Macaca mulatta: one gene and its partners. The protein of the gene in region 1 binds, or shares a complex with, the protein of each later gene. Links are inferred from orthologs where the notes say so. Each region holds a gene or a part of one and is shown in the gene's direction. Other genes may lie near its edges. The genes, in order: BAK1, PXT1 and BNIP5.

The links.
Region 2: the proteins of BAK1 (region 1) and PXT1 are in contact, whole or in part, in a crystal structure (PDB 8GSV), measured with the Homo sapiens proteins. The link is inferred for Macaca mulatta from reciprocal best matches to the Homo sapiens genes BAK1 and PXT1. Residues at the interface, in NP_001179.1 of Homo sapiens: Ile81, Gly82, Asp84, Ile85, Asn86, Arg88, Tyr89, Glu92, Phe93, Met96, Leu97, His99, Leu100, Tyr110, Lys113, Ile114, Ser117, Leu118, Glu120, Ser121, Asn124, Trp125, Gly126, Arg127, Val129, Ala130, Phe134, Asn182; in NP_694535.2 of Homo sapiens: Ile78, Ile79, His80, Lys81, Leu82, Ala83, Met84, Gln85, Leu86, Arg87, His88, Ile89, Gly90, Asp91, Asn92, Ile93, Asp94, Arg96, Met97.
Region 3: the proteins of BAK1 (region 1) and BNIP5 are in contact, whole or in part, in a crystal structure (PDB 8IGC), measured with the Homo sapiens proteins. The link is inferred for Macaca mulatta from reciprocal best matches to the Homo sapiens genes BAK1 and BNIP5. Residues at the interface, in NP_001179.1 of Homo sapiens: Leu78, Ile81, Gly82, Ile85, Tyr89, Glu92, Phe93, Met96, His99, Leu100, Tyr110, Lys113, Ile114, Ser117, Leu118, Ser121, Asn124, Trp125, Gly126, Arg127, Val129, Ala130, Phe134, Ala180, Leu183; in NP_001010903.3 of Homo sapiens: Ile246, Ile247, Gln248, Met249, Ile250, Val251, Leu253, Leu254, Lys255, Arg256, Val257, Gly258, Asp259, Gln260, Trp261, Glu262, Glu264, Gln265, Ser266.

Annotation. Positions count from the first base shown.
Region 1 is NC_133409.1:148,705,006-148,709,326, forward strand, and holds the start of BAK1 (bcl-2 homologous antagonist/killer), read left to right. Parts: upstream 1-1,398; 5' UTR 1,399-1,612; exon of another isoform or gene 1,613-2,288; intron 2,289-2,901; exon of another isoform or gene 2,902-2,978; intron 2,979-3,669; exon of another isoform or gene 3,670-3,820; intron 3,821-3,825; exon of another isoform or gene 3,826-3,981; 5' UTR 3,982-4,012; coding exon 4,013-4,082; intron 4,083-4,321. UniProt on the Homo sapiens protein: Plays a role in the mitochondrial apoptotic process. Upon arrival of cell death signals, promotes mitochondrial outer membrane (MOM) permeabilization by oligomerizing to form pores within the MOM.
Region 2 is NC_133409.1:145,857,443-145,861,085, forward strand, and holds part of PXT1 (peroxisomal testis-specific protein 1), read left to right. Parts: intron 1-862; coding exon 863-993; intron 994-3,643.
Region 3 is NC_133409.1:145,923,863-145,927,505, forward strand, and holds part of BNIP5 (protein BNIP5), read left to right. Parts: coding exon 1-438; intron 439-1,954; coding exon 1,955-2,071; intron 2,072-3,557; coding exon 3,558-3,622; intron 3,623-3,643.

The DNA of each region.
Region 1 (4,321 bases):
TCAGGTGATCCTCCTGCCTCAGTATCCTAGGTAGCTGGGACCACCACACGCACAGGTGTGAACCACCATACCCAGCTAGTTTTTAATTTTTTTTTCTGTAGAGACATGGTCTCCCTTTGTTGCCCAGGCTGGTCTTGAACTCCTGGGGTCAAGTAATCCTCCCACCTCGGCCTTCCAAAGTGTTGGGATTACAGGCGTGAGCCACCGTGCCCGGCCTCTATTGAGTTTTAATCTCCGTTTACTTCACTATCACCTTCAGGATTTCAGATCTCCAGAGACCACCAAGGTGCATGGTGCACAGGTCTGAATTGCAGGTTGAATCTCAATTTAGTATTAGTATTCCCCAACGCGACTACAGAACTGATTTTTTTTTTTTTTTTTTTTTTTGAGACGGAGTCTGGCTCTGTTGCCCAGGCTGGAGTGCAGTGGCTGGATCTCAGCTCACTGCAAGCCCCGCCTCCCGGGTTCACGCCATTCTCCTGCCTCAGCCTCCCGAGTAGCTGGGAGTACAGGCAACCGCCACCTCGCCCGGCTAATTTTTTTTGTATTTTAGTAGAGATGGGGTTTCACCGTGTTAGCCAGTATGGTCTCGATCTCCTGACCTCATGATCCGCCCGTCTCGGCCTCCCAAAGTGCTGGGATTACAGGCTTGAGCCACCGCGCCCGGCCCGAACTGATTATTACTATTTTTTTTTTTTTTTTTTTTTTTTTTTGAGATGGAGTCTTGCACCGTCCCCCGGGCTAGAGTCCAATGGTGCGATCCTGGCTCACTGCAACCTCCGCCTCCCGGGTTCAAGCGATTCTCCTGCCTCAGACTTCTAAGTAGCTGGGATTACAGGCACCCGCCCACCACGCCCAGCTGATTTTGTTAGCCAGAATGGTCTCAATCTCTTGACCTAGTGATCCGCCCGCCTCAGCCTCCCCAAGTGCTGGGATTACAGGCATGAGCCACCACGCCCGGCCCAGAACTGATTATTAACCCAGCTCAGTGACCTTTAGAGAGCACCTTAAACCAGCTGAGCCTCTGTTTGTTCATCTGAATGGGTATTGTCAACAGCACTCACTTACAAGAGTTGTTGAGAAGATCCAACGAGACAATAGTTGCTAAAGTGCCAGGCATGCAGCAGTGCTTAAGAAACTTCTCACCCTGGGTTTTTTATTGGTATTGATTGATGTAGAGATGGGGGAGAAGATCAAAGACAAGGATTGAGAATCAGGGATGGGAAAAGCAGTGGGCCACTGACAGCCGCTCTGCCTGGCTGGGAGGTGGGGTGGGGAAAGTGGGCGGGAGCTGCTCCTGGGCCTGGCCCACCCAGATCACCCCTCCGGGCTGCAGGCCTGTGCGTCTGCATCCGGTGGCCACAGAGCAACTTCCTCTAGAGGGAGCTGATTGGAGCCGGTTGCCGCTGGCACCTCTATGATCACTGGAGTCTCGCGGGTCCCTCGGCAGCACAGGGACAAGCAAAGGCTACATCCAGATGCCAGGAATGCACTGACGCCTGTTCCTGGAAGCCGAGCTCCCACTCAGCCCCTGGGAGCAGCAGCCGCCAGCCCCTCGGGACCTCTCTCTCTGCCCTGCTGAGCCACCCGGGTTGGGCCAGGATCCTGGCAGGTAAGCTGGAAGGGTCCTGCCCGTCCTCCCAAATCTCAGCAGCCCCAGCCCCAGGGTGGGGCAGGGAGCCTGCCAGGAGCCGGGTGGGGAAGGGGAAGCTCAAAGCTTACCTGGGCAGGTCCGCCTGCCCGGCTGGGGACCTGATCGTGGCAAGCCTACTTCTGGCTGCCCCTCACAGCTTCCCCTCTTGCCCCAGCCCTGGATGCCGGAGAACTGTGAGAACTGGGTCCTTTAACAGTCTGGGAGATGGGGGTGGAGGTCAGAGCCAAGGTCAAGGGCAGAGAGAGAACTTTCTCAGCGCTTCCTGCTGCCCAACATCCCTAGACTGGGTCCAGGGCCTGGCCAGGCATGTATCCCTGGGGAACATTCATCAGGGCCCAGCAAGCCCAGGAAGTCGGGGGTGGCTCCCCTCACCGGGAATTTAGGCCACTTGGATTGGGGGACAGAGCTAGGCCTGAGTCAGCATAGGTTGCTGGCCTTGGGGGGTGTCCTGAGGCTCTACCTGCTCCCCTCAGGAGCCTGGGTTGTTGGTAGAGGGAGTTGGGGGTGCCGTCAGCATCCTCTGGCCCTACTGTCCTGAGGGTGCTGGGTTCTGGAGACTGGGGAAGAAGGAAGGCCATCTTATTTAAGGAGCTCCGGGGGGGTGGGGGTTTTATTTTTTGTTTTTTGAGACAGAGTCTCACTCTGTTGCCCAGGGTCGAGTGCAGTGGCGCGATTTCGGCTCACTGCAACCTCTGCCTCCCAGGTTCAACCGATTCTCCTGCCTCAGCCTCCCGAGTAGTTGGGACTACAGGCGTGCGCCACCATGCCCAGCTAATTTTTGTATTTTTAGTAGAGACGGCGTTTCATTATGTTGGCCAGGCTGGTCTTGAACTCCTGACCTCGTGGGCCACTGTGCCCGGCTGCAAAGTTCTGTTTTAACAAGGCCTTGCCCCTAGAGGTGGAGGAAAGGAGAGTCTGCCTTCGCCCTGTCCGTGTCCGGCAGAGCAAGGAGTGGGGAGCTGGGTGAGGGCACAGGTGGTCCAGTCCTCCTCCACCCCTTCTCGAGAGCTCTTGGGGCAGTTTCGAAAACACTCCCAGGCCTAGCGGAAGGAGGGTGGGCGAAGGTCCCCAGGCCCTGGGCGGTGGGGGTGGGGCTGTGTGCTTGGCCCAGGGTGGGGCTGCACACCCCCTCCCTCTGAGATAGGAGGAGGGCGCTTTCCTTCTGAGGGCCGGAGGGTGCCTGGGGAAATGGGGCTCTGGGAGGGGTGCAAACTGAAAGTGAAACAGCTGACATCCAGGAAACGCCCTGATGAGGGGTCACAGCACGTTGGTGCTGCGGTCAGGACCAGGCAAAGAGGAAAGTTGGCTGGGGACAGAAGACTAGGTGTGTGGTGGGAATACGAGGCAGGTTGTGGGGCTTCGAAGAAGGCCCTGATCCTGAGGGCTCCCTCCGGTCACTGCAAGGCAGGGGTGAGGAAGGCACAGGCAGGAGGTAAACAGGGAAAGTTGCCCTGAGAAGGGACACCCTCTGAGGTCCACAAACAAGAAGAAATCTTAAATGCTTGTTGAGTACATGGACTCATGGAGATTCAGACAAACAACCCGACTTTCCGTCACTAATGATGTGACCTCGGGCACTCAACTCTTTATGCCTCACTTTTCCAGGCTGCAAAGTGGGTATGATGGTGCTCACCCTGCTGGGTTCATGTGAGTTTTCAATGTTCAACACCCAGAGTGCTCCTAAGTGGGAGAGTATATCTTAGGCTCTCAGGAAATGTTTGCGGCTAACAGCCCAGAGTTAAAAAACAGGTGTGTTCTGACCAGCCAGAGGGAAGTAGGGCCTCTGAGGGCAGCCTTCATGGGCCATTGGCTGGGCAGTGGCTCGCTTGCAATAAGCATGTGCTAGGTGGGCTGCAGGAGGCCCCAGGAACAGCTAAAACCCCCCAGGCTCTTGCCCCAGGAGTGGTATGAGCTTGAGAGCCAGCGGGCACTGCTGCAGCCACACTCTCCTCGAGGGTGCAGATACCTCAGTCTGCCCTTGGCTGCCTCACCTTCTTACCCTGTCTCCCTCGAAGGGTCACCAGTGAAGTGCTCAGAAGTTGTTTCCTCCCAGCAGACTTCACTGGGACCCATGCTGGAGTGAGAATAAAAAGTCCCAGAGGAAGCCAGGCACAGTGGCTCACACCCGTAATCCCAGCACTTTGGAAAGCAGAGGCAGACTCACAGGTCAGGAGTTTGAGACCAGCCTGGCCAAAGTCCCAGAGGACTGAGGGCCTTTCTGGGAATGGGGAACCCTCTCTCCTATGTGGACATGGCAACCTGTCTGGGGTCCCCAGTCACAGGTCCATGCTCACCCCATCTCTGCTTTTTCTCGCCCATCCCCGCAGGCTGACCCCGTCCTCCACTGAGACCTGAAAAATGGCTTCGGGACAAGGCCCAGGTCCTCCCAGGCAGGAATGCGGAGAGCCTGCCCTGCCCTCTGCTTCTGGTAAGGGTCTTCCTGCCCCTCACCCATCCCATAACCATGAGTGCTGTCATAAGGATGGAAGGAGCAGGACTCAGAGGCAGGCTCCTTCACCTCGGTTCACCCACTGTGGGTGGGAACCCACGGGCTCAGAGGCTGAAGCTGCTGTCAAGGTTAAGCCTGGGAGGGGGAGGAGTCTGGACTGGGGAGGGCCTGGAGGTTGGGAGAGGCCAGGAAGTGAGTGTAAGGTGGGCACAGTGCCA
Region 2 (3,643 bases), about 2.8 Mb from region 1:
TTCCTGGGCTCAAGTGATCCTCCCACTTTGGCCTCCCAAAGTTTTGGAATTATAGATGTGAGCCATGGCGTCTGGCCTGAATCTACTTTTTAAACTGTCAACTTCATGAAATCTAAGTATAGATCAAGATTTTCCGGTGAAAAGTTAGCATCTAAATTGAGGTGTCCTGTAAGTACAAAATAAACACTGAATTTCAAAGACTTAGGTATAATTTTAAAATGCAAAATACATCATTAATCATTTTATATTGATTAATGTTATAATTATGATATTTTGGATATATTGATTTAGGTAAAATAAATTACTAAAATTAATTTTACCTGATTTTACTGCTAGAAAATTTAAAATTACATGTGTGGCTTGAATTATATTTCTATTGGAGAGAGCTGACCTATTCCAATAGATAGGCTTTGCTTTTTGATAATTATTGTAAGAACTGAATTTCAACTCTCTCTTTTTTTTTTTTTTTTTTTTTTTTTGAGATGGAGTTTTACTCTTGTCACCCAGACTGGAGTGCAATGGTGCAATCTTGGCTCACTGCAACCTCTGCCTCCTGGGTTCAAGTGATTCTCCTGCCTCAGCCTCCCGAGTAGCAGGGATTACAGGTGCCCGCCACCATGTCCAGCTAATTTTTTGTAGTTTTAGTAGAGATTGGGTTTCACTATGTTGACCAGGCTGGTCTTGAACTCTTGACCTCAAGTGATCTACCCACCTTGGCCTCCTAAAGTGCTGGGATTACAGGCATGAGCCATTGCACCCAGCCCACCCTCTCATTTTCTAAGACAGTTTTTAGTAACTAGTGGTGATTTTACAGATAATTAAGTAGGATTATCTCTTTTGAACTCTTTTTTTCTCAATGCAGATCATAATCTACCTTCTCAGCCCAAGGAGCATAGCATTGGTCAGAAGCATCACCAGGAGGAAATAATTCACAAGTTGGCCATGCAGCTGAGACACATTGGGGACAGTATTGATCATAGGATGGTTCGAGAGGTGAGGCTTCAGTTTCCCCAGCCAGGGCCTGTCAGGTAGGAGGAAAGAGCAAACAAAACCACAGCTGCCAAGTGTCTGAGATGCCCAGGAATTATCAGAATTAATGGATTAATACTGTCTGGATTACCACATATTAGATCTAAATATTGTGAACCTGAGCCAAAGCTGGCATTTAATCTCATACTTGTTACTCAGACTGTGGTCTGTGGACTGGCAGCATCAGCATCACTTGGTTAGATGTGTAAGATCTGAGACTCCAGCCCACACAATCAGAATCAGAATCTACCTTTTTATGCATTCCTCAGGGGATTTGTGTGATCACATGCGCTCTGTGACAGACGGGGTGGCGGACCCCTCAGAGCCCAGTTTCTTGCTCTTAGATTCAACTATCCTGTGAAGCTTTCTTGGTGCAGCTTCCACCATGCTGTCCTCCACCATGCATGCCACAGGGAGTGCCGTGTCCTCTTTTATACTCAGGTCCAAATGTGGACAACACACAGCCTTTTCCTCAGATAAAACATCCTGGAGACAAAACATGGATGGGAGATCCCAACAATAATGCTATAAAAGCAAGAGGGGGCTCATGCCTGTAATCCCAGCACTTTGGGAGGCCAAGGTGGGCAGATCACTTGAGGTCAGGAGTTCGAGACCAGCCTGGCCAACATGTTGAAACCCCATCTCTACTGAAAAACACAAAAATTAGTCAGGCATGGTGGCACACACCTATAGTCCCAGCTACTCGGGAGGCTGAGGCAGGAGAATCTCTTAAATCTGGGAGGCAGACGTTGCAGTGAGCCGAGATTGTGCCACTGCACTCCAGCCTGGGTGACAGAGTGAGACTCTGTCCCAAAAAATAAAAATAAAATAAAATAAAGCAAGAGAGAAATAAAGAGAAAATAAACATAGAGAACATAGGCAATCAAATAAATATTTGATAGGCCAATTTCATTCCAACAAATATTTATTGAATGCCAGACTCAGTTCCACGCATTGGTGGCTACAGCAGTGAGCAGCAGTCTCATAGAAATGATGTGGGGAGGGAGCAGATAACAAGGCAGATGAACGGTAAACAGCCAAGTCAGACAGGGATGTGAGCTCCAAGCAGGATCAGGGCACACTGATTGATGGAGAGTGACTTCCAATAGGCTGTCGGGGAAGGCGTCTCTGGGAAGGTGATATTTAAGCAGATACTGGAAATGAGGGAGCTAGCCATGGGAACACCTGGAGTGGGAAAGTGTTCCAGGCAGAGGGAACAGCCAGTGCAAAGCCCGGCCCCACCAATCTACGTTGTGTCTCTGTGGATTTGTCTATTCTGGACATTTTATATAAGTGGAGTAACACAATATGGAACTTTGTGTATGGCTTCTTTCACTTAACATACTTTTTTCAAGGCTTATCCATGTTGTAGCATGTATCAGTATTTTACTTTTTACAGTTGAATATTCTATTGTACAGATATGCCGCATTTTGCTTATCCATTCACCAGTGGTTGGACATTTGGGTTGTTTCCACTTTGTGGCTGTTATGAATAATGATGCTATGAACATTTGTATATAAGTTTTTGTGTAGAAATGTTTTTAATTCTTTTGGGTACATACCTAGGAATGGAATTGCTGGGTCATGTGACATCTCTGTGTTTCACTTTTTGAGGAACTTTCAGACTGTTTTCCAAGGTGGCTACACTATTATACACTGTGGTCCACCAGCAGAGTATGAGGGTTCCAGTTTCTACACATCTTTGCCAACATTTGTTATTAACTATCTTTTTGATTATCGCCATCCTAGTGGGTATGAAGTGTATCTCATTGTGTTTTTGATTTGCATTTCTCTGATGAATAATATGCATCTTTACATATGCTTATTGGTCATTTTTCTCTTTGAAGAAATGTCTATTCATATCCTTGCCCATTTTAATTGACTACTTATCTTTTCATCATTATATGAGTCTTTTTTTTTTTTTTTTTTTTGAGGCAGGTTCTTGCTCTGTTGCCTAGTCTGGAGTGCAGTGCTGTGACCATAGCTCACACAGCCTTGAACTCCTGGGTTCAATTGATCCTCCACCTCAGCCTCCTGAGTTGCTGGGACCACAGGCACGTGCCACCACACCTGGCTAATTTTTTAATTTTTATTTTATTTTATTTTTTTGTAGAGACAGGGCCTCACTATGTTGTCCAGGCTGGTCCTGGATTCCTGGGCTCAAATGATCTTCCTGCCTTGGCCTAGGAGTCATTTGTATATTCTGGATGTAAGTTTCTTATCAGATATATGATTTGCAAATATTATATCCCATTCCGTAGGTTGTCCTTTTACTTTATTGATAGCGTTCTTTGAAGTACAAAAGTTTTAAATTTTGATGAAGTTCAATGTATCTACTTTTCTTTTTGTTGCTAGTGCTTTTGCTTTGGGTGTCACATTTATGTTTTCTTCTAAAGGCTTTTTAGTTTTAGTTGTTAAATTTAGGTCTTTGATCCATTTGAAATTAATTTTTGCATACATTTTAGTTAAGAGTCTGTCTTCCTTTTTTTGCATATGGATATCCTGTTGTCCCAACATCATTTGGATTTTGTTGTTGTTTGTTTATTTGTTTGAGACGGGGTCTTGTTATGCTGCCCAGACTGGCCTCAAACTCCTGGGCTCAAGAGATCCTCCC
Region 3 (3,643 bases), about 2.8 Mb from region 1:
ATTCAGACAGCCCAGCTCCGTCTGCTGAGGCTCACTGCACCACCACTGCAGCCCCCACTCCCGAGGAGACTGGAGAGTTTCTCCCCAGTGAGCAGAGGCCTTCGCAAGACACCAAGAAGGGGTGGCTGAAGACCGTGCTGAACTTCTTCGTGAGGACGGGCCCTGAGGAGCCCAGAGAAAAGGCCAGCAGGAGGCCAAGGGGGAAGGAGGGCCTCTCCCAGCCTCTGGAGCCCCTGGAAGCAGCAGGGGAGCCAGCCCTCAGGAAGAGAGCCCACCACGACAAGAAGGCCGGTCGCAAGAAGCAAGGTCACAAGAAACATGCAGCCGAGGTGACTAAAGCAGCTCAAGACCAGGATGCCAGAGGCCAAGAGGAAGGGTTGTCCAAGGCGGCTGCTGCCTCACGCTCTGGGGAGGCTGACCTGGGCCCAGCTCGCAGGGGTGAGTGGACCGTGCCTGTTCCTGTGGAAACCCCTAGGGTGCTCTAAACTTGCTCCAGGAGCCTCTCCACAGAGTGACAAGAATAGTCAGGGGCCGCACCGCTGTGACTTCCTTCCTTCCTTCGTTCCTTCCTTCTTTCCTCCCTCCCTCTCTCCCTCCCTCCCTCCGAACCACTGTGAATCCCTCCCTCCCTCCTTCCCTCTCTCCCTCTTTTCCTTCCTTCCTTCCTCCCTCCCTCCCTCCCTCCGCACCGCTGTGAATCCCTCCCTCCTTCCTTCCTTCCTTCCTTCCTTCCTTCCTTCCTTCCTTCCTTCCTCTCCTCCTCCTTCTTCCTCCTCTCTTTCTTTCTCTCTCTCTTCCATTCTTTATCTCTTCCTTTCTTGCTTGCTTGCTTTTTTTTTTTTTTTTTTTTTTTTTTTTGACGGAGTCTCTGTCTGTCCCCCAGGCTGGAGTGCAGTGACGCAATCTCAGCTCACTGCAAGCTCTGCCTCCCAGGTTCACGACGTTCTCCTGCCTCAGCCTCCCGAGTAGCTGGGACTACAGGCACCCGCCACCATGCCTGACTAATTTTGTATTTTTTAGTGGAGATGGTTTCACCATGTTGGCCAGGCTGGTCTTGAACTCCTGGACTCAAGTGATCCACGGGCCGTGGCCCCCCAGCATGCTGGGATTACAGGTGTGAACCACCACGCCTGGCCCACTGTGACATTTCTTTGAGGTAGAACAGCACCACGGCTGAGCGCTCCAGGGAAAACCACTCGCCCACTCTCAGTGCCGCCGTTCACAAGCTGTGTGGCCCAGGGAGGCAGGTTTCCTCGCTGAGCCTCAACTTTTTTCATGGATAAAATGAAGATAAGTAGTTACTGTCTCATGGAGTGGCCACAGCCCACAAGGAAAGTGCTCAGTGCACAATAGCTGTTACTGCCAACTCCTCTAGTTTCAGGAGCACAGACCTAGGAGAAATGAGAAGGCAGGGAGTCAGGCGAGGAGGGAAGCCCTACTCCCACCCCACTGGTGCCTGTGTGCTTCTGGGCTGCTGCTTCCAGGTCTTGGTTCTAGACTTGGCTCCATCAGGAGTAAACTTGCTGTGTGACCTTGAGCTTGAGCTGCTCCCTCTGGAACTTTTGATTCCCCGCAGGTAAATGAGGGTGCTGGCTCCCAAGGTGCCTTCCTATTCTGCCTCGCAAGGCTCTGGAGCTGAATGCCCACTGGCACCTAGAGGGAGGGGGGCTCTGCCTCGTGGCACTCAAAACTCGGTGTTTATGATGGGGAGAAGATTGAGGGTTTGCGGGGAGGGGGTTAGCAAGAGAGGTGTCTTGGTGGAAGTAGCCTCTTCTCAGATAAAAACCTTGGTGGGTTTCTGGTTTTTTGGTTAGGCCTGGAGCAGGCTGCAGCAGTGCCTGTCGCACTGTGAATTCTGTGCTGTTTTCTCGTGTTGATGAACAAAGTCGGGAGAACGTCACTGACACACGCACATACACACCTACATACCCGTTTGCTTTCGTCTCTATTCCAGGTGGGGAAGATTCTGATTGCCACTCCTTCCTCATCAAAGTGGATGGTGCTGGAGCTTTGGATGTTTCTCCCCACGCCACAGGTCACCAGCAAGAAGAGGAGCTCAAAAAGCCTGATAGTGAGTCGGAATCTCTAGTGACCTTTTTGCCTCTGACTGAGGTGGCTATTACTGAATGAGACGGATTGTTCTGAATGATTACTGAGACCTTGGATAGTGGCTCTCAAAATACATGCACTGGCCTTTCTTGCCTCTTTTGGTGCTTCTGGCCACGTTTGCTTATTTTAGAATTTCACAGAAGGGAGGCTAGGGAATTGGAAAGGCTGCTGGCAAATGCTTCTGCCTTATGTGTTAATGAAAATGGAACTTTTCTTAGTCTTTTAAAATGTATTTTACTTTAAAAAATATATAGAAGAGTGAAAAGTATAGTTCAATGCTTTGTATACTCAGTTGTTTACACTCTGCCAGTTTGCTTTGTGTGCGTATCATTTTGTTGCTGAATCATTTTGGAGTAAACCATGTTCATCCCTAAATACTTAAACATGCATCTCCAAAAAATAAGTACAGTCTCACACAAAACCACAATACCATGAGTGCTCCTAATAAATCGAGAATAATCCCCTATTCGTCTAATTCCCTGTAAAAAAAGATGAGCATATTTTATAACATGTGAAATGAAGGAGCTATGCATGTGTCAAAGAATAACTAAAAGGCATTGAGTTAGTTATTTTGCAGCTAATTGTTTTCTTACATGAGAGGGAACCAGCTGGTAGCTGAGTCAAGCAACAAAAGCCAAACAATTTATAAGTGAGGGAAGTGAGAGAGGGAAGTTAGGAGTAAAAAAAAAAAAAAAAAAGCAAACCCACAGATAGCCTCAGAACAGGGAACCTTGTTTGCATCTCTTTTCATGTAAACTCATCAGCTGGTACCTATCAGAGGACAGTGTGGGCACATTGTCCTTGAAAAGGCTGACCGGAGTATCAAAGGAAACCATTTCCATTGTCAGTGGCTTCTCTGTGCAGAGATGGGGGTGTGGCTGAGGCATCAGCGTGGCAGGCTCTCTCTGTGTCATCCCTGCTGATGTCCTTTCATCCTCCACCTTAGTGAGGCCAGGTATCCACCATTTTCCCACTGGAATTTTGCAGGTTGGAAGATCAGCATTAGCCTTGCAAAGTGTTCTCAAGCCCAGTCCCTCATATGACAGCCTGACAGCCTTCTGGGGGAGGCAGGACACAGATTATGACCCACATTTCACTGGGAGCGATAAAGGCCCAGAGAGGTTAAGAAACTTATTCAAGGTCACACAGCTTACTGAACCCAAAGTAGATGTTCTGAGATCTGTGACTTTCAAAGGAAACAGTGGGGCACAAGTTGAATGCCTAAAGGGCTGACCTGAAATGTCTTGCATGAAGTGTCATGGTTTGGCTCAGTGCCTTCCCCGTGGATCTTCCAGCCTTCTCTCAGAAGGACCTGCCCCTGGGATGTGGTGCTTTCCCTCCATTGTGTGGCCTAAAGAGTTGTTGAAGAGAACTGTCCAAGACAGTAATTTAGAAGGAGTTGTCTGTGCATTTAGAAAGAATAACTGGATGCATTTGCTTTCTTCCAGAGGATGCTATCATTCAGATGATTGTGGAATTGCTCAAAAGAGTGGGAGACCAGTGGGAAGAAGAGGTGAGGAGTAAACTTTGCAGG